Mus musculus: one gene and its partners. The protein of the gene in region 6 binds, or shares a complex with, the protein of the main gene of each other region. Links are inferred from orthologs where the notes say so. Each region holds a gene or a part of one and is shown on either strand. Other genes may lie near its edges.

Region 1 (4,815 bases), on a different chromosome or scaffold from region 6:
CACTCAGCCCCGTGCATCTTTTGTCTCAGTGACTTCCAGATGCCGAGAGATGATAAACAGCCGGACAGATGCATTTCCTAGAGAACGGCCCTTTGTCTTCAGTCATCTGGAAATGAACCCAGGCGCCTTCATCCTCTGTGGAAATAAGCATCAACAGACTGGGGCACAAAGGCCGTGGACGCTGGCACTGGGGGCTGCGGTCTCTAGGGCGCAAAGGCCGTGGACGCTGGCACTGGGGGCTGCAGTCTCCAGGGCGCAAAGGCCGTGGACGCTGGCACTGGGGGCTGCGGTCTCTAGGGCGCAAAGGCCGTGGACGCTGGCACTGGGGGCTGCGGTCTCTAGGGCGCAAAGGCCGTGGACGCTGGCACTGGGGGCTGCAGTCTCTAGGGCGCAAAGGCCATGAACGCTGGCCCTGGGGGCTGCGGTCTCCAGGGCACAAAGGCGTGGATGGATGGCACTGGGGGCTGCAGTCTCTAGGGCACAAAGGCCGTGGCTGGCTGGCACTGGGGGCTGCAGTCTCTAGGGCAGTTCTCTCCCTTCACCTGAACCCCCATCCGGGAAATGGGCCAAATGACCTCCAAGGCAGCTCCAGTACTAAAGATTCTGTTTAACAAACCACCTTCTTCAAGACCTTAGGTCTCCAGCACTGCTTGCCACCTGCTTGGCTCAAGGTGAGTGTGACAGGTGACAGGGAGGCAGAGCGCATTACTATATAACTCATGATAAAAATTGGGGCACTGTGTTCACATTCCCAGACACACATGTGGGCACACACGCGCGCACACATGCGTGCACACACAGATCCCGGGTGCTCTCACTCATGGTGACAGGAACACATATACCAGGAGCGGCCTCTGCTTTTCCATGAGCATTTCGGCTCCACCACAGAGTGACTGGGCCAAACTTAACTGACTCAAGCCAGTCCGTACAGCAGCACTCCACAGCTACACTCAGGCCAACAACAGGGAAACTGAGGCTAAGAGCCAATAGGTGGATACCTACCTGCTGGACTCCTCATCCCAGGACCCTGAGAAGCATCAAAGTGTCCCTGTAGAGTACGTTAGAATTTCAAGGAAGCCCCACAGGCCGAGACCTTTATTGTTTGGAAACAAAGGCTCTCCTGATGCTGTTCTCTACAGTGACTAGGCTCAGAATCTAGAGTTCCAGACATCACAGTGTCAACAAAGCATAGGTGGCAGTCAGCGTTCCTGGGAGCTAGGAAGCTCAGCTCATCCCTTGCAGAGCTCAGACCCCACCTTGGCCAGACTGCGTGTGACAGTACATGTTTCATCTCTGACTCCCGGGCTGGCCAGACTCACTGTAGCCAGGTCTGTGAGAAGGCTGAACCTGACCGGCCACTAAGAAGCCTGGTCCCATGGGTGAGGACAGTGGGGACTTCCACAGTAGGATAGGGAGGTGGCTGTTGGGGACTGTGGGGACTTCCACAGTAGGATGGAAAGGTGGCCATTGGGGACCAGGATTGCTACAATTTCATGAGGTTTCTGTCTGTGTTGCTTCCCAGTTCCATACTAGAAACAGTCAGGAGAGACATGGTTTCCTTCCAGATAAACTCTGGACCTCCTTCCTCTAGAAACCAAACTCCTCACCAGGGGAGCCTTGCACTGGAGGCTTGCTGAAATCCCAAAACAGCTCACTGCCTTCTGGAGGTGGTCACAGTCCCAGCCTTCAACATAAAACTACCCCAGCCTGAGCGCCCACTGTAGAACACGAAAAATGGTCTCACTCTGTAAGCAGAGACCTCTTCAAAGGGAGAGAACTAATTGTTGAGTCTGGCCCACCTCTGTCCCAACTCCCAGACCGCATCCCAAGTCATCAACACTGAGGAAGACACTACAAACAGGTCCAACTTCATCTTACAGCCAAGGAGGCTGAACCAGGAGAGTAAGGAAAACTCGGGACCATGGCCCTGGAGGACAGAGCCCCTCCACCTGGAGGGAGGATAGAGCCCCTCCTCCTGGAGGACAGAGCCCCTCCTCCTGGAGGACAGAGCCCCCTCCTGCCAACAGCTTCCCTCACAGTTCTAGCCAAGCACTGGCCTTGCCCAGCAAGCCCTCTCCTATCAAACCCTTCCACAGGCACTCATGCACACACATGCCCACACAGGCACACAGATACAATCAGGCACACCCAGAGCCACAGGTACATGCATACATGTGTGTACACAAGCATATACACATACACATACACATACATGTATCCTCTTATTTATCCTTGGGTAACTTCTTCAGTAAGATACTTCACTTTTTATTCTTTGAAATTTTACATATGTATACAAAGTATTTTGAGCATATCCACTCCTACTCTCCCCGCCCCATTAAACTCCCTCAGGCTCCTTTAATATGTCTCCCTACTAACTTTATTCCCTCCACACCCCTTTCAAAACAAGCTTAATATTTATCCCATTTCTATCTTGTGAAAGCAATGTTTCTCCCTGAGTCCGATTTTCTCACTGGAAAAGGATTCTAGCTACCTGCACCTGTGTGCCATGTGCCCGGGGCAGGATGGGAAAGAAACTCACTACCTCACCAAAGACCCTTCCCTGGACCCCAGAATATCTCTACCCCACAGGGAACTGTGCAGCCCTTGCAGCTCAAAGCCTTTTCCCTCAGCTCTTCTAAGGTTGGAGGAGTTATGAAGACCCTCCACAAAACCTGCAGGATGTGCTGGAGTCAGCGTGCCTGTGTCTTTTCCAAACTCTGGGGGGGGGGGGGGGGGGGGAAGAGCGCAGCCTAGGCTGGACGCGGGAAGGAGAGAGTCCGCGTGGGTCCCAAGGACCCGAGGAGATGGAGTACCCCGACCCAAATGTCTCCTTACCACAAAGCAGCAACAACAGTGGAAGAAGGTGCAGCCGCTGTGCTGGGGTCTTCATGGCCAACTAAGATGCAGCCGGCTTGCAGCAACAGCGACATTCGGAGGTAAGAGGCTTGGGGCGGGACCAGGGCGGGACCTCGGAGAGCCCCAACCCAGGCCACGCCCCCACCCCGCCCCTGACTCCCTCCGTTGCCTAGAATTCTCAGCTTCTCTCTGGAGGGGCAGGTGGTGGGGACAGGAGGTGGGGGTCGCGTTGGGATATAGACTGGAACAGAGGAAGGGGAAGTGCAGTCGGGTGGGAGAGCCAGTCCAGCGTGGCGGGAATGGAGAAGGGGTTCTAACCGGAAGACTGCAGGTTTGGTCTGGGGATGAGCCGGATTAACCTCAGTGTCAAACTGGGAAGCAAGCTGGAGAAATGAAGGGAGTTATGCAGTACAGGTTGATAGAGGGGAGCCAGGCAGAAGACAGACAAGAGGTTGAACTCGGAGAAACCCGGGGTTCATCCTTGCAGGTCCTGTGGGACCCCCCTAAGCCAGGCACATAAATTTAAGCAGAGACAAGTCTGAGAGCCCTGCCTGTCTCCAAGGGACAGAGAAGGGCATGAAGTGGGTTGCTGAGCAGATGGGGGGGGGGGGGGCATTCTTCCAGACTGAGGCACTGGGGAGGGGAGCTTGGGTGTGCACACATGCAAACACAAATGGCTAAGTCTGAAGCTAACTGAGGGCAGGCGGGTCAGTGACGGGGCCTCCAAGGACCTGGCTTCTGGAATCAGCAGGTAGAAAGAAAAGAAAAGGCCTCAGTTTCTCCCACCATAGACTACATCTGTCCCTCAAGCCCAGGACAGCTTCCTGTTCCCAATGTTGGGACCACTCCTCAGAAAGAGAAAAGCAGACCTCTTTGTCCTCCAAAGCTTATTGTCCCCCAGGAAAGCACTTGCTGGTCTGAGAGCTAAGGCCCAGACCTGGGAGGATGGCTTTCCCCACCTAAACAAGCACTTCTGTCTCCCACGCCCCATCACTGAGCTCAGCTCACCTTTCCTGACCTAGAAAGGCTCACTACAACTTTCTGTGAATTTTCACTGAGAAAATTCTGGTCGAAGCCAGAAACAAAAACAAACAAGCAAATAAACAAACAAAACCCTGTAACTACTTTAGGGCTGAAGAGATGTCACAGTGGTTAAGGGCACTTACAGGGGACCTGGGTTTGGTTCCCACAGGTACTGGAGGTAGCGCATGATCATCTGTATCGCCAGCTCCATGGGATCCAGTTCGTTCTGGCCTCTGAGGGTGCCGCACGCAATTGTGCACACCCATACATATAAACCAAAGAAATCTTAAAGATTAAAAAAAATAGCATTTTTAAAAACCAGTTAGCAAAGAGAACCTAGGAAGCCTGGGCTTGCTACAGCAATAACAAAGGAGTCTAATTAAAAGTAAAACTGATTTAACTTGGTCAGTCATCCTCCTTCAAGAGGGGCCAACATCTAGGCCATTATCCCTGCCCCTGTGCTAAGGGGAGGGGGCGCTAATCAGGACAAAAAGGATAAGCCAGCAGGTTGCTCTTATAGAGGGCTGATTGTCCCACAACCTGAAGTCAGAAACGGGAAGGCAGACTCTGTACCACCTTGACTATCGTCAGCAATGACGAACGCACACCTCGGGTGGGCACTACTCGGGCAGCTGAATGCAGGACCTGCTCACTGGCTCTGCTGTGGAGAAAGCTCACTCAGTCCACAGAGGTGAGTCCCAACACCTCAGCTACACAGGGCTGCCCATGCCCCTGGTATGCCCCAAGGGCCTCTAATCCTGCTGAGCCGCAGCCTATGTCACACCTTCAAAGCAGATGAGGAAGGACGGTACCAAAGGGAGGTCAGTGCCATAGCCACCATTCAGCCTTCCTGACGTAGGGACCGCCCGCTCTTCCCATCCCCCTCCCTCCCGGGCCCCCGGGCCCTGGCTAGGCTGCACATGTGGCATGGTACAG
Region 2 (4,787 bases), on a different chromosome or scaffold from region 6:
ACGGTTCCGGCTGCACGTCCATCCGCCCGCCTCCGGCCAGCAGCTGCTCGCCGCGCAGCGTGTGGGCGCTGAGTCACTGCCCCTGCACAGCAAGCCCGCGTGCAGGTCGGGGAAGGGGGGAGAAGACGAAGGGAGGGGAGCCCAGTTGGCATCTGCAAACTGCTTTTTCCCCCCCTTTCTTTCCTCTTTCATTAAGACTATGTGCTGACTCCCACGTAGAAGAACTTATTAAACCGCACGTACTACTCTACCGCTCTTTGGGGGAGCACGCATGGTGGCCAGCAGGGGGCGCTACAGCCCCGCTTATGGACGTCAGGGCCCAGTGAAGACTTGGGCTGCTAGCTGAGGGTTTCCCAGAGCTGCTGTGCGAACGTTTTGCGGGTCCCCCACCCCCGGTAGCTTTTAACACCCACAGTTGGAGCATAAACTCTACTTAGAAAGCCTTGGATATCAGTTTAAGTCTCCAAAGAGCGCCTTAGCTCAGGTCCAGTGAGCAACCCTATAAAATTGGGAGTATATTGCGCAACTTAAGGAGCCCAGGCTCGCCTATTAGGGCTCACCCTACCCTACCCGGTCTGGTTGCCATGCAAGGAGGTGAACTCGGGTATCTCAGAGAACTCTTGACTCCCTCCCAGGACACGCGCTTTGTGCATCCACATGGACACCAGAGCTCACAACAGGTAAGCCTTGCTTAGAGAGGTTGCTTTGCACCCACAATGCAGTTCAATCTTCCCAAAACAAGAAGCAGAATCTCAGCACTTCCAGGCCGACCCAAACCCAGACCACCATCCTTCCCCAAATGCATGAACCGAGAATGAATCAGCATTGAGACAGTTTATTGGTTTGCTTTTTCCCAGATCACATATTTTATGTAAATAGATTATAGGAAACACAATGTTTTTTCTTCATCCACAGGCGATAATCAGGCGCTCTCCACCTTACACACACACACACACACACACACACACACACACACACACGGAACCAAACAACCTTACACCTTGCTGAGACATTCACGTCTTAAAATAGGGGAAGGTGACAATATAATCACTTTAAAATGCCCTTAATACAATATATAACGTACAAAAATATCTCTATATATTTGAAGTTACAAAAAAAAAAACCTTGACAGCAACAAACTTAAATACTATAGTTACCTTTGGCTGGACAACAAGCATTGCACGTTCCTCGCTAGGTTTTGGAAAGTTCAAGTAGTAATGAGGCTTATGCCCCGTGAGAAACCAGTTTATGAGCGGGCAAGGCAGTGGCTCAGACCCCTGCCCGGAGAGTATCAGCCTGTAAGTCTCGGTTTCTGGCATGAGCCTGGCTTGGTCTTGGGTTCCTCTGCCTCCCCTAGGGGCAGCCAGGCAGATCTCTGCAGGATTGTCTCAGTCCGCCCCGGTGCGAAGTTCTCTGATTCCGCAGGCGCCAACGGGATACTCGCCCGACTGTTCAATGCTGTCACCCGCACCTATATCCTAAAGAGTCTGGAGATGTGCGCCCAGGGGCCTGGGGCTGTGTGTGTCTGCTCCTGGGAGGACTCCACAGTCCGGGACCGGAGGACCTCCAGCAGGGAACGCCGGCGCCGGCGGCCATAGCCTTGAGGGCTGATCTTGTTTCTGGGAGCCATGCCGTCCTTGTCTTTGTCTGTTAGCTGGTAGATCTGGTGGGCCAATTTCTGAAATGTGCAGGTCCCGAAGCGGCATCCATTGCTGCGGGAACCCTGGTTCATGCTCTGGCGGTAGCGTTTGACACGAATGTGGGCTTCGCTCTGATTGCTGTGAAGAAGGAAGGACACCTCATCAACCGGGGCTTTGGTCCCAACCACCTGGGACCGGAGCCATGCAGTACCCGAGGGACCTGGAACCCGTTCCCTCCGCCGGAGCCTCAGCTGCAGTGCAGCCAGGACAATCCCCAGGGTCAGAGTAGTGGAGAGGGCACATCCTCTGCAGAGAGCATAGTTACCTGGCTTGTAGGGGGCCAGTTGTGTTCTGCTCGTCCAGGAATGGATCAAGAGTCTGGGTAGGAACTGTCGTCTCATCAGCGAGTCCCGTAGGGTAGCTGCTGGATGCTTGTAGTTCCCTCTTCCCACGACTTAGCGCCCACTTATTCCACCTAGAAAACACAAGCAGATGCGTTTGGCCTAAGTTCAAGTGATGTCCCAGCCAGCTCCACTCCCTTTGTAACACCTCCAGACCATCTCTCAGTTTTCTCTCATTGCCAGGTATTCAAAGTGAAGAAAGAAAGCACGGCCCAAACTCACTTCTTTCGGAACTGCGAAGGAGTATCTGGCCCTGCAGTGTCCGCGCCTAGGAAAGCGAGTGAACCCAATAACATCAGGGTGATGGAAACCAGCTTCATTCTGTGGCGATGCTCTGATACCCTGGAAAGGAACAAGACACCGAGTGTGAGCAACCGGGCCAGCAGCACGATCCCGTCAGCACGCGAAGGGTGGCGGCAGGACGGGGAGCCGCTTGGCAGCGCTCTTCCTGGCTCAGCTGCTTATCTCCCCCACTGGCGCAGAGAAACACCGGAGATTTTTGCGCTGGCCGGGTGGGTGACAAGCAAGGCAAAGGAAGCCATTGAGAAGTGCCAGGCTTCCAGAGGTTTCCAACTAAAGTCCCAGGATCTCAGCCCAAGGAGGAGGGGGGATCTCAAGAGAGCTCCAGCTGTGCGCATGAGCTAGACCTGGGCAATGAGGTGTTCTCTACATTGGATACCCTAAAGTGGGTTGTTCCCCCTTGTCCAGCTCTGCAAGTTTTGGGGCTTTGGCAAAGCCGTCCCCCTCCCTAACATGCTGGAGGCCAGCGGTTCCTACCTGATAAAGGGGTGCGTTGTCAAGCACTTGAAGCAGAAAGAAGTCCTTCTGACAGTAGCAAAACCCCAAAGTCCAAGATTGACTGCGATGAGAAGCCGAGAAACCAGGAGCGGGAGCGGTAACGCTGGAGTTGCTCTGTCTAGTGTCACCAAGAAACCACTGACTAGTGAGCACCAGCTCCAGCGTCTTATAAGCGCTCAGGGGCGGACGGTGGGCGTGGTCAGATTTGCCCTGGAGTCCTCCCTCTCCAGCGTGCTTGCTTCTAAAACCAGACCTGCCCTGCAGCTTGCCTGTGGGTATGGGGGGTAGGGGTAAGAGGTCCCCTGTGGCTAGACATCTCAGAGATCCGCTCTGAGAGATTAGACTGGAGCAGGACTTCCCTTGCCCTAATTTCCCAGCATAGAGTTCAAACAGTGAGAAGGGAAGGGGAACCAGAACAACTCGGGTGGGGTGAATCCTTTGCCCATAATGTGTACAACCCAGAGTGCTGATCTGAGCTTCCTGGACAGTGCTGCAAGAACCGGGAGACGGGTGGGACACATGGATAACCAAAACCCCGGACTTGGGGAGCTGTGACCTCAAATGGACCGCGCCCCCTGCCGGCTTAGCACCTGACTGAGCCTCGACCCCCATCTGTGCCCGCAGGGTACACCTGGAAGGGAGAGGCTCAGTCTCCAGTGACTGGGACTGAGGGGTTTCTCGATAGACTAGCCAGTACGGATTTCGTAATAAGGGCAGAACTGGGAACAGCTGAATTGGAAATTGGGGTTTGGAGAGGGTAGTTATCTGAAAATTCAGAACTCACATTCCTATTTGGAAATACAGGAATAGCCAAAATTAGGAAGAGAGATAGTTTTGTTTTCTTCCTTGTGATACTATTATCCCTTATAAGGCTATGACCTGCGAGTTGACCTGACTGCCTTCATTCATCCATCATAAACGTGAGGATTGACTGACTGGGAGCACACTAATGCCTCACATATGTTAATCACTTTACAGTTGACAAATCCCAGCCAGATCCCAATCGCTTTTGATCTCTACACTCCCGAGCTGGTGTTCTCTTGAATTAAAGTGAAGTGCCGAAAGGGTAAGTCTATTGCCCAGTCACACTAAAGGTGGGAAGCTGTAGAGTCTGGACTCAAAAGACTGGGGCACAGCGGCTCGGTTTTCTGGCTGGGGTCACCATTCTCATCAGGTGGGGGGAGAATGCCGGCCCCCGCCTAGCCCAGAGATATGTGCTAATTCACGATGAATCAGTTCGAACACGTTTGCCACGGGCTGGTGCTCTTCACAGATCCGTGAGTTCACTTTCTTCCCTTCTAGGGCCAAACTGGGCGACAGGCGTAGCTCCGCATGCAGGTCTCCCGGAAGGTCCCGAAGCTAAAGACATGACCTACGACAGCTCCTAGCCCCCAGCCCTGGTGATGTGGACACAGACAACTCATGTCCTCTTCCTGGCGACCCCGGCAGATCTCCCAGTGTCCTACCTTATCTGCCTCTAAGTGTTAGACCAAGAGCAAAACCGACTAGGCATTCCTGTCCCGCGGACCTTGCTCACAGCGCAGACTATGCTAAGCACTGCTGGTTCAGCCCGTTTGTCACCCTCCAGACAACCATGGACATTGCACCTGGGGGAGAAATGGCCGCGCCGAGATTACTTATCCTCCTAAAACTGCAAAACGGAGTTCCCCCTTGGGCAGGGGACAGATTCCCAGGTTCTGCTTCTGGTAGGGGCTTGGGACACGGATGTTGAAAGGGCTGCAGCTAGGCGAACTGGCCCGCCTTAGGGCCTTCTGGGCCGTGGGACAGTCACCGCAGCAGCCCTGGCCAGTGGCTAGCCTGTCTGCACCAAGCAGCACATGTAGCACAGAACCCTAGAACTTGACCCTAGAACTTTTTCTCGCTTCTGTCCCGTTCTGTACCCTTCCTTTCATTTCATCCCCGGATTGTCTGTTGATACCGCGCAGCT
Region 3 (4,760 bases), on a different chromosome or scaffold from region 6:
GGGGCATGTCCTGTGCTGTAGGGCACAGCTAAGGAGAGGTATTTACCAGGCTTCTAGCTGTCTTTTGTGTTGACACCATTTGATCTCCGAGATATGGGACGCATAGAAGGTTAGACACTTGGCTCAAACTTGATGGGTTCCTGGGGTGGATTCCAATTGGGGCTCAAGAGTTATGAGGAGCGCATCTGTTTCTCTCACTCCTCTCTCACAGGATGGAAAGCCTGTGGCTTGCAGGCTGCCCACTGGCAACTGGCACTCAGATCACCCTAAAAACTGACCCACCTTTTCCGGGGCTCCAGCAGAAAACTGACCGTGCAGCCTGCGAGCATCCCAGGGACCAGGCTTCAGCCAGAGCTCTAGTGAGGGTACAGCCTAGCAGGACACATGGAATCTCAGAAAGGAGGGGTGCGGCAGGGTGAGCCTTTGGGGAGCCACTCCCTGGCTCAGCACTTTCACTGGGATTCATACCACATGTGGCGTCCCTGTCACACACTCTCCCAGATGCCAGTTTGGATTTGAACAGAAACTATCAAACTGGTTAGTTCAGGGGTATGTGTGAGGAAATCACAGGAGACTTTTCCAAGGAGTCATTTGCCCCAAGTGAGGATTGCATCTAAAATGTTCCCCTATGTTACTGCAACCTAGCATGGGTAGAAAAACTGGTCTGCAGCCCTGGGCTGGACTGACAGTCTGAACACAGACCCAGCATGTATGCAGGGAAGCTGGACAAACACCAAAGAATCACTCTGTCTCCAAGCTCACACTGATGGCAAGTAAACACAGTGATTCAATTAGCAAGCTGGAGTCCCTGGATCTGGGCTCCACAACAAGAACCGTGTCCAGATAAAAACAGCAACACACCGACTTCCTGGGATGTCCGTTTCACTTGTAGTTTATATATAGTTCAACAAATAGTCCGGAGTCTCAAATCCCCAACCCCCCTTCTAGGTCCCCAGCATGACAGACAAGGAGAGCATGCGTTCCCCAGTACAGACGATCCAAGAGCTGATCCACTGCTGTGCCCAAGAGAAGTTTGCAAAAACAGCAGCTTGCAAAGCAGTCAAAGCTGTCCGAGCTGGCCTGCCTCGTACCCACAGCTCGCCTTTCCTGACAGCTCAGAGCCTTTTGATGGTTATGCATGAAAATGTTTTAAAGTGCACGTGGTCTCTCAGGAGATGCTTTGTAAACACAACAGCACACAGAGGAGAGTCAGCGGGAAGAGAAAAAGACGTATCTGCTGGGATTTCGGTAACTCTTAATAAAGCCAGCAGGTTGACTAAGAGAAGAACCAGCTGGTTTATAGAAGCGTCCCAGATCAAGATCTCACATCCTACAGATTACTATACTTTAAAGAAAAACAGAACTCTTTCTTCCACATAGCCATGCAAGATATCAAAGTCTATCTCCAAGGAGATCTGGCCAGTAGCAGGGCTCGTGAAGAACACTATGAGCTCAGTGATTCCGCTCATCACAGCTGGGTTCCCAAGTCATTAATTCACCGATAACCTCATAGAGTTGTGTTTGTTCTCCCAAGACATAACATCAGCCAGACTGCTCAGGGCTACGTCAAGAGCACAGGTCATTGGACTGAGAGCAGAGCCCTTTTCTTGGTAAACACAGGCGGTCCTTACATGTGGTCAAGCATAAGTGTTCTATTTACACAAGCCTTCCAGGGTGCAGACTCTGGTGCACTAGTAAAGAAACTTAATTTATTTGCTTATTCTTAAATAAAAGGGGGTGGGGGAGGGGCCCAACCAGCTCCCTGTGCTGCTAATGTTCATCTCTTAGGAAACTGAAGCTAAAATTTCACATCAAGCCAAAAGGATCTGAACATAGCCAAAGACAGCAACATTATTATAAGGTTTTGATTTTCACGCAAGTTTAGCCAACACATATAAGGGGCAAATCCACCTTTAGATTCTATTACACAGAAACAGATTTTTAAAGTGTAGATCTGGCACTCCCTGGCAAGGATTAAAAACAGGAGAGCTCTGCCCTGCAAACGGTAGGTGTCCAGTGCTGTTCCTGCCCAGTCACCGGGGACAGGCCACACTGCCCCAAGCTGCTTCCTTGGCTATAAACAGCACTAGTGGGCAGCCTTTGCCACCACCAGAGCCTGTGCAGCAGGTGCCTCTGACCAATACCATGGGTATGGGAAAAGACCACAAGAATCATCAAGCCACAGGCCCTTCCAGGGACACTGGACCGACTCTTTGTTTGCTTTCGTTAAAATGTAGCTATGTACCTGAATTATGTCCAAGAGGTATGACAGCCCCGGGTCCTGAGAACGTTACAGACAAGGGAACTGAGATGGGCAGTTTCTTGTTAGTCACCCCTGGGCTACAGTTTCTGATCAATCTAAAACAAAATCCCAAGCAAGTCTGCCACCTCTAATATTTATTAGCCACACACGCCAACAACAACCACCCTTCACCCCTAGCCTCCCACCCTCCGTGGAAATAATAGTCTCAACCAGCAACTGTTGTAGGTGAGAGTCAGGCTTCCAGTTGTCCTTAGTGTCCGGATCCCTAAGCTGTGGCTCTGGTTGAAGACTGCACATCTGTAAGCTGCTTCTGGCTCAGGGAGCTTGCATCAGTTTGGAGAACTGAAGTGCCGACAGGGGAACCCCGCGACCCTATCCCTCCCGGAAAGCAAGCTGCCCATTGTATGATCAAAAGTTGCTGATGCCTTCGGATGGCCCGCTGGATGATGTGCCCAAGCCACCTCGTCTCCGTGGCAGCGTAAGGTGGTGCAGCGCCCCCTCCCCCGCCCCCATCACCACTCTACTGTCTTGCCCAGACCCCATGCCCTGAGTAAGGTGCGTTCAGGTGCTGCCCTCCCGGCCCCAGGTCACCACCAACGCTGCAGCCCGGGCTACTCACCCAGCAGCAGCCAGAGGCCGCACCGCGGGAGGCCCCGCAGGCCCGGGGCCATGGCAAGCAGAGCCCCACCGTCCCAGCGCCTTGCCGAGCTCTGCGCCCGCTGGAGACGCGCCGGGGGCGGGAGCTAAGGAGAGACCGCGCCCGGCCCACTGCGGCTCCCACGCCCGCGGCTGTCGAGGGCGGAAGCTGGCGGGCGGCACCTGAGGCTGGAGCGCGGCTGGGACTAGAGGGGAGCCTCCTGGAATGTCTGCAGGGCCGGATGGGCTTGGAGGGTCTCCAGGTCCCCAAACTCAGCACCTCGCTCTGACGGCTGGGTTCCTCAGCTATCCTGTGGGCTCTGCAAACACCCCGTGGTCCCATCTCCTTTTCCCCGTGGGGTGCTGGAGTGGTGTGGCCAAAACCAGCCCTGACAACCAACGTCTGTAGGACAAGAAGTGGAACCTCAGGAAAGATGGTCAGTGGGAACAAGGCTCCTTGGAGGGACAAAGGTGTGCTTGACAGCAGGTGGTGACAAGCCAGGGTAGGGTAGCAGAGTCCATGAATACCGAATTTAGGGACAAAAGGAATTGCTAGGTAAAAAGGTGAGACTTCCGTTGGGGTTGGCTACTGGCCATGACTCTACACAGGATGGACCAGTAGTGGTAAGGGAGACTTGGGTGTGTGAATATGAGCAAGAAAGGCCATGTAACACCGGCAAGCTGAGAACCCTGGGGCAGATACCCCAAGTACAGGCTAGGCCTGACCTGGAGAGTCATGGATGCAGCAGCTCAGACTAACTGAGCAGGTCTGCACTCTGCACGCTGCAGGTGAGCAGACTATCACTGGCCCCATACACTGGCAGAGACTTCACTCAGGTTTACAATACTGGTGGGTGAGCAGCGTTCCTCACAGCAAGGGGAACAAGGCTAGAGGCTGCTGCCACCTTCTGGCCAAGCGCTCAGGACCCTTAACAGCAACCTGGTATTCATCCTGAACACAGGCCAAGCCGACATTTGGGGTTCATAAACCTATGTCTTGGGGACCCCACATGTCCTAAAGTCAAGGGGACATGGGGAAGGGAACACATTCTTTTGGCTTGGCTAGCCCTTCGTTTTGAACCTTATGAAGCCCTGCCAGGAGGCCAGCCTCCTTTCATGGACAGACATGGGAGTACGGGCAAGTCATGGCTGGAAAGCAGCTGAGCCCTGCCTCATTCAGTCCTTCCTTTCATGTCTGCAGCTCAGAATCTAGGCTGTGAGGCTCCCCAGTAATTGCCCTGAGTTTCTCCCAATTCACACAGAAAGGATGCAACTCGTTGACACCCGGCCTTAGTGTGGCTGCCCTAGGACTGCAGGTTGGCATCTTCAGTCTGTGAGATTTGCTCACTTCTAACTGGTCATCAGCAGCATTGGATCCCCTCTCACATGGGCATGTGCTGACACTGCGTTAAAAGACTGTCAGAGGGAGAGAGGCATTAAGGTAGAAGTCAGCAGGTCTACTTCTGTACAACACCTTCAGTGGATACAGTTCCCATTTATACACGGAAAAGTAACCAGACCTCAGCAATTGCCACAGTAGACAGTTCAGGGAGCCCTGAGAACAAGAAATCAAGGCAGCCTGGGGCTGCCTACTAAGTTTCCAGACTTCAGCAGGATGAGGGAAGCCATAGTCCAGAAACCAATCTAAGAAACAGAGAGAACGCCTCGGGAAGACATCTGAGAGAGGCAGAGGGCAGGCTTCACACTGTACGTAAGGACACTCCCTGAAGTGCACAGCAGCAGCAGCAGAGCATGTGCACACACAGTCTGGAGCAGCCCAGCTTCCGCTACCGTAGAGGGAAACAAACTGTGCTCAGAGCAGCTGAGAGCGAGCAGGACTAGCCTTAGGCATCAGAGGAAA
Region 4 (4,313 bases), on a different chromosome or scaffold from region 6:
GGTATTTTCACAGAAAGCAAAGTTGCTTTGCCTGTATTTGGGGGGACCCGGCAAGTGTAACCCAGGAAGGATTGGGTAGGAGAGATCCCCCGTGAGGGAAACTGATCTTCCCTGTCTGGGAAACCCTGTTCATACACAGAAATGGGCAGAGACGTAGATGTGTTAATAGAATATTGTATCCATATTTCTCAAGAAGCGTACAGAAGGGCCTGTCTAAGAACTAGGTTGTGACAGAGATAACATTTATGAACACACACACACACACACACACACGCACCCCACCCCACCCCACCCCACCCCGTGTTTCTCAGCCTGGTGCTTCTTCTAGTTTTTTGTTTGTTTGTTTGTTTGTTTTGAGACAGGGTTTCTCTGTGTCCTGGAACTCACTCTGTAGACCAGGCTGGCCTCAAACTCAGAAATCCGCCTGCCTCTGCCTCCCAAGTGCTGGGATTAAAGGCGTGCGCCACCACTCCCGGCTACTTCTTTTAGATTTTATACGTTGTCTTGTTGTTGATCTTAGCGGACACCAGGGGGCAGTGTGTGGCCATGATGGATCTCTTAGACAATGTGGGATAAAGGCCAGGAACCTACTAGAGGGGGAACAGTAGAATCCTGTAAAGGAATCTCCCCCCACCCCCCACCCGCCAGCCCCATTGCCTTCAGCCTCAAGCCTGAGATTCGTACGGATTAATTCCTGTTGGTAATCATATTTCTTCTTTCTAGCTCTAGAGTAAACCGAGGCACGAAGAAAGGCCAACACTGGGCTCCCGGGTAGCCTTTCTTCCTTGCAGGAGTTACTGTAGAGCTTTCTTGCCCCTCCTCCCACACCTTCCCAACTACAGGCCCCCAGCTGCTGTCCAGGCCGGAAGGGAGTCTCTTCCTGCTCATTTCCTGGAGCTGGGTTTGGATAGCTGCAGGAAAGGCCCCTCCCTGGGAGGAAAAAGTATAGGAACATGGCCTTCAAGTGGAGGCGGAGGGCAGGTGAACTGAACTGAACTGAACAGCAGGGCCATCTAGATTCTTCAAGCTCTGTTGCCCAGTAATGATGCCCTGTAGGACTATCATCCATACTGACCCCACTAGGAAGGCAATATTGTACAAAAACATAACTTTATTTTAAAGACTACAAACATTGTGTCGTGAGTCCCCTTTGCTGCCATTTCCACCAATCCACAGGTCTGTGGGAAGGATGAGAGTAAGTGGGTAGGGAGGGGAGGAGCGCCATTCCTGGTTCCAGCAGGGAAAAGGGGGGAAAAATGGCTGCTGAGAAATGGACCCTAGGCCTGGGCATCGCTGTCTTTACTCCTCCACACCACAAGAGTAACAAGGAACGGGATGAGGCAGATGGGGGCTATGATCATGGCCAGGAGCACATCCTCTGGGGGATCAGAGAAGGTGGGCTGCACCAGGGAGCAGTTCGCAAAGTGTATCAGGTGAGCCTCAAGGATGATGTTTTCTGCCAAGGGATTTGGGAAGCCCAGCCCAAACTTGTCTGCATTGTATTCCAAGCAGTTCTGCAGGTCGCTGTAATGCCTGGGAAGCAGTAGGGGGTTTGAGTGAGGGAATGGATGGGCACAGGGAGAAGGATGTTCCCGCCCACAAGGAACAGGTCCAACTCCTGGCCTGAGCCATCCATCCTTCAACACTGCCCCTACCTGCTAATCAAAGTCCAGTTGCACCAGTCCTTGACAGAGTCCATGCAACTCTTGTACTCATACCAGCAAGGTAGGACATGTGTTTCGTAGTCTTCCATCTTCCCTGTGGGGACATAGGCTTCACAAAGACCACACCCCTGACCTTCCCTCCAAGCCTTCCGATCCAGGTATTTCCAAAGTACAGTCCTCTGCCTTCAGAGAAGGGAATCCCCTTTGAAAAGTTCCCTAGCAGGACACTCGTGACTAAGAGGAGCATTCTCTCTCAGGACTCAGTGCCTCAGGGATCCTGTAATGGCAATCATGTGCATAGAATTTCCTTTCCTAGCCCTGAAAGCATATCCACACACACCCAGTCTTGCCCTTCTTACCCAACTGGGGCAAGACACTGGCCTGTGTGGTAGGGAGAAAGACCATAGGAACCCCAAGAGACACCAGAGAGGTTAGAGGGCATCAGTTGGTCCTCAGGTTGTCTTGTGAAAGGATTCCTCCCGTGTTGGGTTTATCCTTCCCTCTAGGTCACTCTCCCACAGACTTAGGCACTCACCTTTTGACACAAGGCTGTCCTCAGTGGGATGAGATTGATTCTGGGACTCCGGAAGAGATTGGTTCAGGGACTCCGGAGAGGCTGAGACAGCTGTATAAAGAAATGAAAGGAAAGGCCTGAATAGTGGTGGGGAGAGGTCTGAATAGTGGTGCCTGTTTACGGGTAGTGACCAAGGCCCTGGGAAGTCAGCACTGCTTTGGAACATAAAGAGGAATAATCTCCCCACCTCCCCCATGGGATTATCCTATTGAGGGAAGGGAGCGGCTGGTACCAGCTGCGTCCCAATCACATCCTGGTCCAAAGCCCCCTCCCTCTTTATCAGTCCTGAACCTCCTAAGACCTCTCCGTCCGGTCTGGGCAGGCACCCCAGCTTTTAAGTAGGAAGCAGCATTAAGTGGGAAGTAGCCGGCCTGCGCCAACCCAGAGATGTATTCAGGACCCATCTGCAGTTCAGAGGTGCTCCGCACGTCGATTGGTACTCGCAGGGTGGTCCCGTGCTGGCCTCGATGTCCCAGGCCCCTTCCCCTCCCGGACCTCCCACATCTCCCACCCGGGCCCGACACGGTGCTCACCGCCCAGCAGCAGCAGCAGCAGCAGCAACAGCGGAGGGAGGCACAACGCTGTCGGCCGCTGGGCGCGGGTCACACCAAGCCGAGATCCACCCGGGGCGCGCTCTACCCGGAGCGGGGCCATCACGCCTTGGGTGAGATGGCGAGGAGGGGCAGCGGAGCTGAGCTGGCCCGGGCGGGGGCGCCTATATCCCCGGCCCGAGCCGCAGGAAGCTGCGCCGCTTCCTCGGAGGGGCTGGCACGGCGGCGGCCACGTGGGGGGCGGGCTGCAGGGGGAGTCACTGCCGCACCCGCGCCTCGCTCGGCCCGGAGCGCCCTGGCCCACTCTCGCTTCCAGCTCGGGCTGCGGGGCTGGACAGCTCCCCCTGTACCCCGTGAACTGCGATCCACTTCCCTCCCTGGACTAGCTCAAGTCTCCCAGCATCAGCCGAAGGATTCCAGTCGTTCACTCCTTCTCGCACCGGAGGGGTGGGGACCAGCTGCCGTCCCAGACCTGGGGAAGAAGGAGGCAGTTGGGAGCTCCAAAGGCCTCCGATGCCTGGGTATCTGAGGCAGGGGAGTTTGGGGGAAGCGGCGTCAAGAGCTGCGCCCGCCCCACTTTCTTTTCCCAGGGAACACCCACTGATGTCTGCCAAAATCCGGAGAGGAGAGGGGCCTGGCTCTACTGAGAAAGGAAGAAGGTCTGAGAAGCAGGGTAGGGAGGAGTTAAAGTCTAAATAAACCCCCTTCAATGTAAATTCTGAGACCTTTACCCACAAACCTGATATTGGAGTGCAAAAAGTAAGTTGACTACATTTCCAGGAAAATGGCTACCCAGGTTGCTAGAGCGAAGGGAGATACTAGAACTTCCAATGTGCTTCTTAGTGTTTGAGGTGAGTTGTTGCTGTGGTGGTTGCTGTTGCTGCTGCTGCTGCTCCTGGAACCTCAGCCCCAAGGCAAGCAAGCATATTATCACCATCACCTATTTTATAGAGGAGGAGGCAGCTAAAGCTCAAGGAGAGACCCCAGGACTTGAACTGAAAAGTTCTGTTCCCAAATCTACCTTCCCCAGCTCTACAGCCTTGGAGTCTTATACGGTTGTCCGTTGTTTTCTCATGCACTATTAGGACCTTGCTCTCCTCCTGCTCTGGAGGAATCTCCTTTGTGGAAAGAGAAGCCGGTTTTCTTTTTTTCCTTTCCTGAGTGACTTGGCTAAGGTCACGTTTTACTGGGAAGCCCCAAAGGCTCAGTCTGGGCCCCCAGGGACCCTGCCAGCTATCACAACTCAGCTGTTGCTGTATATTGGGCCAGCCAGCCATTAGCCTGAATTAGCCCAGGGGCTTGTTTGGCCGCACTTTTCAACTCCAGGCACACAGCTGTCAGCGCAAAACTTTCCCAATTACTCCCAGACATTGACCCTTGAACTCAGCTGTTGCTGTTGTCCCAGTTTACTGATTCCTGTCCACCAAAGTTATCTTTTATGGTCCTCCCTTAAAAAAAAAAAAAAAAAAAAAAAAAGCATTGCAAGACTTCCAGCTGGCCACAGGCAGCTGGAATTAATTATAG
Region 5 (4,728 bases), on a different chromosome or scaffold from region 6:
TTTCTTTCTTTCTTTCTTTCTTTCTTTTCTTTCTTCTTTCCTTTTTTTAAAGAAATGTTTATTTTATGTATGTGAGTACACTGACACTCTCTTCAGACACACCAGAAGAGGGCATCAGATGGTCGTGAGCCCCCATGTGGTGGCTGGGATTTGAACTCAGGACCTCTGGAAGAGCAGTCAGTGCTCTTAACCACCTCTCCAGCCACCCAATTTCCCTTTCTTGATCTCTCAGCTAGGAACAGAGGAATATGCCTGTCAGCCTCTACTATCTTACTGTTTATGCCGGATGTCCTCATCGGATGGGGGTGGGCAGATTGCAGAGACCACCTTGTTTAAATGCCTCCAGCTTTCCTGAGGTAGGCTTGGGTTGGTTGGTTTCCTGAGGTAGGTTTGACTTTGTTTATTTTTCCCTGATTTGGAGTAGTTTTGTTGATTGAGTTTTTGAGATAGGATCTTGCTACACAGCCTAAGCTGGTCATGAATTTCTCATCCTCTTGTCTCAGTCTTCAGAGTGCTGAGGTTGCTGTGTGTCACCATCTCTTGCTTAGGGGTAGGTCATACTCAACCGTTTAGAGATGGGCCAATAAGAGATAAGGTTTGTCTTATCCCCTGCCTTGGTCTGAGGGTAAGAAGGGTTGTCTCTGCCGTATTTTATTCCAGAATGCCCAGGAGTCTCCATCACCGCTTTGGCCTGGACTCCAGGTTACCCACAGCCACTGGAGGTCTCTTTTCTGACTGACTCTAGGGACCACACCAGATAGCCCTTCTTTCTGCCCCTCCTGTCTCGGTTCACGAATGGAAAAAGTCATTGTTCCAGATCAGATACAGAAAGGTAAACTGCACAAGAGAGTGGCCACAGCTTTCGCCCACAGTCAGACTTTAATTCCCAGTGGGGTTGGGGTTGGGGTTGGGGGTGGGGTGGGGTCACAGGGGTCACTCCAGCCTTCTTCCTGCTTATTCATAGGTAGAGATGCATTTAAGATTCTAGCTTTTGCCCATTTCTTTAGGTACACGCCTCCTCGAGTTCTTGGTGGCCTATGATATTGGCAGCACTTCTTCCAAGCACCTGTACCCTGAGTGTACACAGTTCTGAGATGCGCAGGCCCCTGTCGGTGCAGATTCTACAGCCTAGATCCACATATCCTCATAGGTTTAGGGTATCCAAAGCCACGAGGAATGGCTACAAGCAGGAGCTCCAGAGAATCGGGCCAAGGTATGGAGCTCAGCTGCAGCTCTGGGATCAGAGCACAGCACTCCAGATGGAGTACCTAGGACCCACCTCAGCCATAACTGTGGGGGCTGCTGGGATCCACAGGAGCTGAGTCCCGCCGGCCAGCTGGCCGGACAAGCTGCCACAGGCGATGGCTAAGATTCTGGACTTGGCATGTACCCAGTACACAGCCAACCCGCAGGAGCTGGGCATGGGGTCTTCGGGATCCCGTGGGACGCTGGGGACCAGGGTGTCGTGAGCCACCACCCTGAGGCAGATGAACCATAGCAAGGGCCCTGTTGCCCCTTCCCTGTGGCTGGGGGGCATGACGACGAGACTTCCAGACTACAGGCTGAAGGGAAGGGTGTCCAGGCTGCAGGTTACTGGAAGGAATCTTAGCTGGGGGCTCTCTGCAGAAGGGGAGAGAAAGATGTAGTAAACTCAGTGGCCTAGTGGAGCCTTCCAAAAGCCTTTTAAAACCACCTACTTCTCTTCTTCACAGTCCGAGGGCACTGGCAGGGGAAGCCCGCAGCTTCCCTAAAAGCCTGGCCCAGGACCAGGGGAAGCCCAAAAGTTTGGTCTCCAACCTGAAGGCTGGGAAGGGGAGCCCACCATCCTTCTGGGCTTACTGGCAGCTTGGCCATCTCAGTAGCCCAAGTCACATGTACCATTAACAACACCATTCTGGGCAAAGGTCCCCAAGAAAGACCCCCATTCCCCCACCCCGGGTTCTTCCCTTATGTGGTCAGAAGCCAGCAGGTTTGAGAATCTCTGAGCTCCCTTCCTTCAGCAGACCTCAATGTCAATTGTATCCGTGGGGGTGGGGGAATAAGTACCCCAAGTAGAAAGAGGCAAAGGAAGAAAAAAGTTCTCCTGCCTTGTTCAGGCAACACTAAAGGTGGAGGGTGGCCCCTGAGCTGGGAGATGAACTCTAGAAAAGTTAGGTTCCCCCTGAGGAGTTCGGTCCAACCCTGTACTCACCTGGGTCTGGAGTGCCTCAGTCCCTTGCCCAGGCTGCCAGACAACGTGCCGGGGAGCAGGTAGAGGAGGCTGATGCAACCGAGGGTTACCGTGACCATCAGCAACTGGGCCATGGCGGGCTGGGCTGTGGAGCAAGAATGCAGTGAAGCTAGCAAATGGGGTGGAGGAGGTGGGCCACTCTGGCCTGGAGCCAACCCTCTTTGCCCACCAGTTGGGGAGCCCTTCTCTGCCCCCGGGCGCTCGGAATGTGGGAAGATTGGTTGGTACCTGCGTCTGTTGTCTGTCGGGGCACAGGTCTCAGGATCTGGAGACAGCTGGCAAAGCTGGGATCTGCTAGCAGTTCCCAGAGCACGCAACGGAACTTGTGGGTCAGGTCGTGGTCTCCTAGGAAAGAGAGCCTTCTGGGGTCCAGCGGAAAACCAGTTTGGGAAGCACTTCCAGCACTAAGTAGTCTTTGGAGCTAAAGGCGTGGCCCAGACGCTGATGGGGCGGAGCGTCCTCCACCCGGGTGGGCTGCGGTAGCCACGCTCTCCTGGTGGCTACTCCTGCCCAGCAGAAAGCAGTAGAGCCACAGGAGGTCACTTCAAGGGGCCCATCCTTGCTGGGAAATGCTCAACAGCTGACCAGAAACCCCGTGGGGCTACTGCCCTCACTCCTGGTACCTTCTGGTGCGCGACAAAGTCTCAGAGACTAGTGGAGCCAAATGGTCGACCAGGCAGGTGAGTGCTAAGGTAGGGAGTTGTGCTCTGGCCACAAGGGCATTCACCTGTGGTTGCCCAGCATCCCCAGGAGATGATGGCAGATTCCCGTGGTCTGCCTGTTTCCCAGGCAGGCTGCTCCTCATTACCAAATACTGTAATACAAATACAAAGAGAGACCCCGCCACAGCAATATTCTGGGTGACAGAGTCGTTGCTCTTTTCTGCACACAGTATTCTCTGCATGAGTTATGCACGCATGCACAAGCAAGTTGTGTGTGTGTGTGTGTGTGTGTGTGTGTGTGTGTGTGTGTGTGGTGTGTTAACATAAAGGCACTCTTAGGGTTGGGCATACTTGAAAGTATGCAGGTGTTCTGTGAGTTGCTTTATTATTTTTTTTATCAGCTTTTTCCTCCCACTGGGAAGTGAACAACTCAAGCACACACCACTGAGCTACATCCTCTGTTACCTTATTTGCCTTCTTAGTTGAGGTAGGGTCTCCCTAAGATGCTCAGGCCAGCCCTGAACTCCCTCTGTCACCAAGGGAGGAATTCAACCTGAAGTCTTCCTAGCTCTGCCTCTTGAATAGCTGGGATTACAATCCTGCACCACCATCCCAGCAATCAGCCTTTTTTTTTAACGCTAATTTTTATTTTTTCATGCTTTGATATGTCTCCTTTTGACTTATTTTTTGTTAATCTTTAGCATATAGAATTATGGATTTTATTATGACATGTTCATAAACATATTGTTGGGTTTTGCTTGTATTCATACCATAGGTCCTTGGTTAATCTATATTCCAGTGATTTTTTTTTTTCAGATTTTTCCACAATTAAAACCCCTACCATTGGAAGCTCACACACATGCGGTATATACCAAATTGTTCTTCACAATGATTGTGCCAATCCACCATCCACCGTGGATTCTGTGACATTAGTTCTTAACATCTTTGTCAGCCTGACAAAACTATTCAAAACAAAAAAACCTATCAGAAGCACTTTTTATTTTTTTTCTGACTGCAGGAACATCTCTTCAACTCTCTGTGTTTCCTCTTCTATTTCACTATGTCCCTTTGTGGGGCTTCCCCGGGACTTGGTCACTCTGTCCTTCCTGCTGAACATACACGGGTGCTCAGTAAGCATTTGCCGGATGCGTATATACAAGTCTTCAGTGCAAACCATGCTGAAGATGTTACTTTACCCTCTGAGAAAAATATTAGCAGAGTCACCCAATTGCTTGTTCTTATCAGTTGTGGGAAGGGTGGTTTCGTCAGACTTACAGAAGAGCAGTGTGCTAAGCATGGTGGTGCACACCAGCATCAGGAAACAGAGGTAGGATTGTTAGTTAGTTTTAAGACCAGTCTGGGCTACATAGCAAAACCCTGCTCCTCTCCCCCCAACCCCGTACCCCCCCCCCGCCCCCCCGCAAGCCAAGGCTGGGGAATGGACCTTTGTGGTAGGTAGAGTGCTTTTCTATGTGTTCAAGACCCTGGGTTGCGTCTACAACCCCTTCAAAAATGAGCAAAATGTGACCCCTCCAAAGCAGGTGAGCCTGGGGCTGAGGCAGGTGTTAGAGAGGTCAGAAGGAAGGGATGTAGAGACAACAGGACAGATGGGTCAGGGAAACTAGGCAGAGAAGGGGAGGGACAAGAAAGCTGAAGATCAGTGCACAGCCCTTCTATTTGATGGTGCAGGAAGCCATTCGCACAGGAAGAGGCTACAGTGTGGACATGCCCAAGCTAAGTTGCCTTCTCTGGATAGAGGTGTCTGTCTAGGAGGCCTCCAGTGCTGTGTCCTAGGCTAAGGTTGGGAGGAGGGGGAGGTTGGATGGGGTGGAAGGC
Region 6 (4,237 bases):
TGTCGATAAAATATGAGTTCTTTTAAGTGAACTTGAGTATGTTTTACATATAATGTTTCTATGAGCAAATTAAAACACAAAGGAAATTAAAATAGATTCACATTAAAATATCTAAACAGTAAGTATAACACTGACTACTCCTAAACCCTACACAGTTTGTTATATTTGAAAAAACACTAACCTCCAGGAAGGCTGGTTTATCAACAAAAAAATACAAAGTCGCTTCTAAAAGTGTCAGCCATGACTCTAACAAAGTATTAGAGAAAAATAATAGATGCAACTTTTAAAAGCTAAAAACTCCCCAAGTTAATTTTTAGGCACCAGAGAAGTTTTCTTTCAAAATTTTTGGATTTTTTTTCTACAAGCATTATAGAAATATTTTAATTGGCACTTCAGCTTTAGAGAAATCCAGCTTCAAAAATACTATTACAAAACTAATACTGACTAATCTTAGACTGCTATGGCTGAGAATGACACCACAGTAGATATTGGCAGTAAAAAAATCTCAGCTACACTCGGTATAGTAAAAAAATAATAAAACTTAAAATTACAATACCTTTTAAGTATGTTCTCTGGTAATTCGGCATTCTGTACTACCATTTATTGTTAATACTTGACAGTTTGTTTAGAAGAATGCAGAATTACACGAACACTGTCAGCGAAGATATGAATAATCAATACCTAAAGTCTGAAGGTATTAAAAGGAAGGTTTGTACGGTTTAAGCAGCTGAAAGTTCAGAAAATTACAAATATAAAAAAAAAAGAAAGAAAAAAAAAAAAGAAAATTACAAATATGTCTGTCAGATCATGTAATACATCAGTGCTTGATAATTTGAATTCTTTTCCTTGACAGTTTCAAACAACTTTTTAATTTATTCTCTTCTATAGCTTAAGACAATGAGTGAGGGCTGAGTCACTCCTCTCATCCACTGTAAACTGACAGACACACTTTAAAAAACATGGACTCATGTAACTGTCCCCAGAGTGACTTTTACTAACTGAAGTCAATCTTGTTCTTCAGAAACTCCAAACCAAGCAATATTGGAAAAACTAAATCCATTTAAAATGTCACTTAAACTCACAAGCAAAATCTTCTTCTGTCTTAATTTAATTATTACTTAAATATCTGACACTTCATCCTCAATGAGTGGTAAGTTCAAGTCTTCCCGTGGCTTGTATTATCATCCACAGTAGTCTACTGAAATACTGAAACAGTGTTATTACATAGAGAAAATTCCTCTGTGGTTCATAAAAAAATAATAACCTGGGTCTTTTTCAAAAGCATGTATCTTCATTTAGTAAAAATCAGTAAAGCTATAATTTAGTGAATTAAAGCCCACAAATGTAGCAGACTAGCACTTCTTACAGTAGTTGTTCATAATTTCTGAATTTGAATGAGTTGTCATCAAATTGGAATATGTCATATTGGAAGCAGTATGTCAGCACACCAAATATATCATGCTTGTAAAATTATGGCTTTACATTTTTAAATAAATATTTCATATCTTATCATTGATATTTCTGGGGTTTGTTTTTAGTTCTCAAACTTCTGATGCTGGTATCTGTTTGTCCTTAAAATATTTACCAAGTATAGAATTCATGATTCTATTTTACTATAAAATAAATCAGCCCAGACACAGTATCAGATACTAAGTTGCATATAATGTTGCATCATCTATCTGCTTTAAAAGTTACCTAGGTTGTGTTTTGAATTGAAACAATAAAATAAAATTACAGAGTACTTACAGTTTCATTTGTACAACCTCTCTCTCTCTCTCTCTCTCTCTCTCTCTCTTTCTCTCTCTCTCTCTCTCTCTCTCTCTCTCAGATTCCCAAGATAAAAAGAAATCCTTCATTGATTCCCTTCATGTAAAATGGTTGATCACTTACTTATCTACACAGTAGAAATGGAAAGGCCAAAGTTTCTATTTACAGATTCCAGAAAACTGATTTCCTCCTATTCTTGCCGAGAGAGAGAGAGAGAGAGAGAGAGAGAGAGAGAGAGAGAGCTGACAAGGTGTAGCTTCTACCAATATGTCTCCCTAGTGATTCAGAGTGCATATACCACAGGATACAACAATATGTAGCAGCAACTAAGAAGCCCATGGGAATTCTGCTCAGTTGCTTTTCTTAAAGAAAGTAACATGAGACCACAGAGATAATGAACTCTTTGTCTAGTCTACAAGAGAAGTTATAAAGAGGGTTAAAGTGTTTCTGGACAAACCATTCACTATCACCAAATGACAAAAGGATGAGGAGTTTTATAACAAAAACCAAACTTTCCTTTCATGTCTGTAAGTCCGAGTGAGGTCTCCTCAGATGAGAAGAGCAGAGTTCTGGTCAGTGTGGGTGAGAGTGTGCACAGACTTCCATCTCTGAGGGCATGCAGTGCTGTGCAGGTTCCAGAACATGTCAGCTCCTGGGAGTTGTTTGTGCTTATTTTCTTTCCAATTACACATTCAGTGATGTCAGGTTGGTAACTTGAAATCAGTTATGGTAGGAGTAGTTACTGGCCAACAATATAAATTGAGGCTTTTCTCCCCCATAGAGAGAGGGTTGTTAAACATTTATCCATACAATTCCCATTTCATTTGAGGGCTTTCTTCATGGTATTCCAGAAATCCATTTGCTGGCTATCCAATCTTTTGGCTATAAAATCATAGGTTCAAGTGTGTGATTTTATATATTTTCACATCACTAGATCATACATATTTTCTGATTTTAAGGCAACATTTTCAATATCCTGGATGCTTTTTCCATTTAAGTGTTCAGTGGGGCAGTCATGGCTGTACCCTTGCATGTCACTGATTGTTGACACTGTGTAGGATGCACTGCGGAGAGCATCAGAGTGGGAAAAGCCATTTCCAAATTGGATTTTATACTGGTTCCAATTTCTTCTCAGAATTGCTTGAACCTATTGATCAACAATAAACAGAAACAGCAAAAACAACCCATTAGTTGAGCTGAAAATACTCTATTTGATGCATAACAAAATGTTTGGCAGAAAAGCTTTTGCTCTTTAAAGGAAGAAGACCAAACTGGTCCTGGTCTATAATTTTAGTTACACATGAAACTGAAGGAGGAATACTGCAAGATCAACACCTGCCTGCATGCTAGTATTAAGTAAGCTCAGACCTACCTAAGTATCTTACTTATATCTTGTATAAAAATAAAAGGTAAAGGAGAGAAAGAGAGAGAATGAGAATTAGCTCCTTAGTAGGTTGTTCACTTCGTATTTATGATGCCCTAAATTCTCTTCCCTATGTTGTTCTCATGAGAGTTGGGCATGTCCTATCTTTGAATCAGTCTTTTAAATCTTTCTCTGGTTCATCACTTTGTCTATCCCTCAATTAGATGTTTCTTTCAAACATGACTGCTTCCTTCTGTAAACTAATCTTACCTGTATTGTTTGGGATTAAAGGCATTTACTAAAGGCTTGTTTGCATTCCAGCCAGATCACAGAGACCCAGAAGGTCTTTGGATATGTGGTTTCTTGCCAGAGCAGTCATTTTGCTGGATTAAAATTCCTCTAGCCCATAGCTTTCTTTCTTAAAACAAATGTGAAGTTTAATGCCTTTTTTCCTGACTGAAATTAAAGATTATGAATAATTGTGTCAGATACACTGACTTCTATTTTGATTGAATTAGGACTCTAGAAAGACTTCCTTCATGCTGAGTCCTTAAACACAAATGAAAATAGTCAGCTGAGTCTTAGATGCCATCATCTTTATACTAACAGATCTGATAACTGTGTACAGCCTGAGTAGAGGCTGGCCAGTTTTAGGTCATAATATATTTGCCCCATCCCTGTGGTGTAATATATGTTTGCCTAGATGTTTGTTGTTTGAATAGATTTTCCCAATCTGCCATCTAATATTTTGTGCCTGCACCCAAAGGAATCTAAGAATAAAAAGAAATCTAGTAATTCATATACTCTTAACATCCTCAGATATTAAGAGTATATAATTAACTTTCTGTTCAAAATATTTGTGTAAAGTCCATATTAAATATTTTATAAAATCTGTCTTGTTTCTTTTCTTGTGCCTTCTCCAAACATTCTGCAACCAATAATGATTTATAGGAGACTACAGTTTTAGGGTTACTTTTAAGTCTCTTACATGCTACCACTTAAGATAAAAACAGTTTTCCTGTCTTATTTAATGTTTTAGTATTAATGGAAAAAGCATGGTCAAAATGGAGTTTCCCATTTCTTAAATATAATTCAAAATTAATTAAT

What was found.
Region 1: the proteins of Calcrl (region 6) and Ramp3 are in contact, whole or in part, in a cryo-EM structure (PDB 6UVA), measured with the Homo sapiens proteins. The link is inferred for Mus musculus from reciprocal best matches to the Homo sapiens genes CALCRL and RAMP3. Residues at the interface, in NP_001258680.1 of Homo sapiens: Arg38, Asn39, Met42, Thr43, Gln45, Tyr46, Glu47, Tyr49, Gln50, Met53, Trp69, Asp70, Ser117, Arg119, Thr120, Phe228, Leu231, Ile235, His238, Thr239, Val243, Val245, Lys249, Gln250, His251, Trp254, Tyr255, Phe257, Leu258, Phe262; in NP_005847.1 of Homo sapiens: Trp56, Cys57, Leu59, Phe62, Ile63, Tyr66, Glu67, Thr70, Cys82, Tyr83, Pro85, Asn86, Pro87, Leu88, Gln90, Ile93, Thr94, His97, Arg98, Cys104, Thr105, Val106, Asp107, Arg108, His110, Leu111, Glu112, Asp113, Pro114, Val118.
Region 2: the proteins of Calcrl (region 6) and Adm are in contact, whole or in part, in a cryo-EM structure (PDB 6UUS), measured with the Homo sapiens proteins. The link is inferred for Mus musculus from reciprocal best matches to the Homo sapiens genes CALCRL and ADM. Residues at the interface, in NP_001258680.1 of Homo sapiens: Val36, Thr37, Asp70, Gly71, Trp72, Asp90, Tyr91, Phe92, Gln93, Asp94, Phe95, Asp96, Pro97, His114, Ser117, Thr120, Trp121, Thr122, Tyr124, Thr125, Asn128, Val135, Ala138, Leu139, Leu141, Phe142, Thr145, Thr191, Leu195, Ala199; in NP_001115.1 of Homo sapiens: Cys110, Arg111, Phe112, Gly113, Thr114, Cys115, Thr116, Val117, Gln118, Lys119, Leu120, Ala121, His122, Gln123, Ile124, Tyr125, Gln126, Phe127, Thr128, Asp129, Lys130, Asp131, Lys132, Asp133, Asn134, Ala136, Pro137, Lys140, Ser142, Pro143.
Region 3: the proteins of Calcrl (region 6) and Ramp1 are in contact, whole or in part, in a cryo-EM structure (PDB 6E3Y), measured with the Homo sapiens proteins. The link is inferred for Mus musculus from reciprocal best matches to the Homo sapiens genes CALCRL and RAMP1. Residues at the interface, in NP_001258680.1 of Homo sapiens: Asn39, Met42, Thr43, Gln45, Tyr46, Glu47, Tyr49, Gln50, Lys51, Ile52, Met53, Gln54, Thr68, Trp69, Asp70, Gly71, Arg113, Arg119, Thr120, Phe228, Leu231, Ile235, Thr239, Val243, Ala244, Gln250, Trp254, Tyr255, Leu258, Phe262; in NP_005846.1 of Homo sapiens: Trp59, Ile63, Tyr66, Arg67, Ala70, Phe83, Trp84, Pro85, Asp90, Phe93, Leu94, His97, Gly98, Phe101, Arg102, Cys104, Pro105, Ile106, Ser107, Gly108, Arg109, Ala110, Val111, Arg112, Asp113, Pro114, Ile118, Leu119, Phe122, Ile123.
Region 4: the proteins of Calcrl (region 6) and Ramp2 are in contact, whole or in part, in a crystal structure (PDB 3AQF), measured with the Homo sapiens proteins. The link is inferred for Mus musculus from reciprocal best matches to the Homo sapiens genes CALCRL and RAMP2. Residues at the interface, in NP_001258680.1 of Homo sapiens: Arg38, Asn39, Ile41, Met42, Thr43, Gln45, Tyr46, Glu47, Tyr49, Gln50, Lys51, Ile52, Met53, Gln54, Trp69, Asp70, Gly71, Arg119; in NP_005845.2 of Homo sapiens: Trp86, Ile89, Tyr93, Ser94, Arg97, Leu109, Gly110, Pro112, Glu117, Ile120, Phe121, His124, Gln125, Phe128, Ala129, Cys131, Ser132, Leu133, Val134.
Region 5: the proteins of Calcrl (region 6) and Adm2 are in contact, whole or in part, in a cryo-EM structure (PDB 6UVA), measured with the Homo sapiens proteins. The link is inferred for Mus musculus from reciprocal best matches to the Homo sapiens genes CALCRL and ADM2. Residues at the interface, in NP_001258680.1 of Homo sapiens: Val36, Thr37, Lys40, Asp70, Gly71, Trp72, Asp90, Tyr91, Phe92, Gln93, Asp94, Phe95, Asp96, Pro97, Ser98, His114, Ala116, Ser117, Thr120, Trp121, Thr122, Tyr124, Thr125, Asn128, Thr131, Lys134, Val135, Ala138, Leu139, Leu141; in NP_001240774.1 of Homo sapiens: Leu106, Arg107, Val108, Gly109, Cys110, Val111, Leu112, Gly113, Thr114, Cys115, Gln116, Val117, Gln118, Asn119, Leu120, Ser121, His122, Arg123, Leu124, Trp125, Gln126, Leu127, Met128, Gly129, Pro130, Ala131, Gly132, Arg133, Gln134, Asp135.

What each region holds. Positions count from the first base shown.
Region 1 is NC_000077.6:6,656,648-6,661,462, reverse strand, and holds the start of Ramp3 (receptor activity-modifying protein 3 precursor), read right to left. Parts: upstream 2,931-4,815; 5' UTR 2,891-2,930; coding exon 2,836-2,890; intron 1,903-2,835; exon of another isoform or gene 1,818-1,902; intron 1,380-1,817; exon of another isoform or gene 1,227-1,379; intron 1-1,226. UniProt on the Homo sapiens protein: Accessory protein that interacts with and modulates the function of G-protein coupled receptors including calcitonin gene-related peptide type 1 receptor (CALCRL), calcitonin receptor (CALCR) and G-protein coupled estrogen receptor 1 (GPER1).
Region 2 is NC_000073.6:110,625,853-110,630,639, reverse strand, and holds Adm (ADM precursor), read right to left. Parts: upstream 2,984-4,787; 5' UTR 2,819-2,983; exon of another isoform or gene 2,384-2,818; 5' UTR 2,362-2,383; coding exon 2,264-2,361; exon of another isoform or gene 2,225-2,263; intron 2,116-2,224; coding exon 1,966-2,115; intron 1,779-1,965; coding exon 1,472-1,778; 3' UTR 820-1,471; downstream 1-819. UniProt on the Homo sapiens protein: Adrenomedullin/ADM and proadrenomedullin N-20 terminal peptide/PAMP are peptide hormones that act as potent hypotensive and vasodilatator agents. Numerous actions have been reported most related to the physiologic control of fluid and electrolyte homeostasis.
Region 3 is NC_000067.6:91,178,263-91,183,022, reverse strand, and holds the start of Ramp1 (receptor activity-modifying protein 1 isoform 1 precursor), read right to left. Parts: upstream 3,202-4,760; 5' UTR 2,935-3,201; coding exon 2,883-2,934; intron 1-2,882. UniProt on the Homo sapiens protein: Accessory protein that interacts with and modulates the function of G-protein coupled receptors including calcitonin gene-related peptide type 1 receptor (CALCRL) and calcitonin receptor (CALCR). Required for the transport of CALCRL to the plasma membrane.
Region 4 is NC_000077.6:101,245,031-101,249,343, reverse strand, and holds Ramp2 (receptor activity-modifying protein 2 precursor), read right to left. Parts: upstream 3,011-4,313; 5' UTR 2,893-3,010; coding exon 2,772-2,892; intron 2,290-2,771; coding exon 2,200-2,289; intron 1,759-2,199; coding exon 1,656-1,758; intron 1,534-1,655; coding exon 1,278-1,533; 3' UTR 1,094-1,277; downstream 1-1,093. UniProt on the Homo sapiens protein: Accessory protein that interacts with and modulates the function of G-protein coupled receptors including calcitonin gene-related peptide type 1 receptor (CALCRL) and calcitonin receptor (CALCR). Required for the transport of CALCRL to the plasma membrane.
Region 5 is NC_000081.6:89,320,864-89,325,591, reverse strand, and holds Adm2 (protein ADM2 preproprotein), read right to left. Parts: upstream 2,873-4,728; 5' UTR 2,459-2,872; intron 2,316-2,458; 5' UTR 2,305-2,315; coding exon 2,192-2,304; intron 1,621-2,191; coding exon 1,281-1,620; 3' UTR 861-1,280; downstream 1-860. UniProt on the Homo sapiens protein: Intermedin/ADM2 is a peptide hormone that plays a role as physiological regulator of gastrointestinal and cardiovascular bioactivities mediated by the CALCRL-RAMPs receptor complexes.
Region 6 is NC_000068.7:84,330,765-84,335,001, forward strand, and holds part of Calcrl (calcitonin gene-related peptide type 1 receptor precursor), read right to left. Parts: intron 2,915-4,237; coding exon 2,690-2,914; 3' UTR 1-2,689. UniProt on the Homo sapiens protein: G protein-coupled receptor which specificity is determined by its interaction with receptor-activity-modifying proteins (RAMPs). Together with RAMP1, form the receptor complex for calcitonin-gene-related peptides CALCA/CGRP1 and CALCB/CGRP2.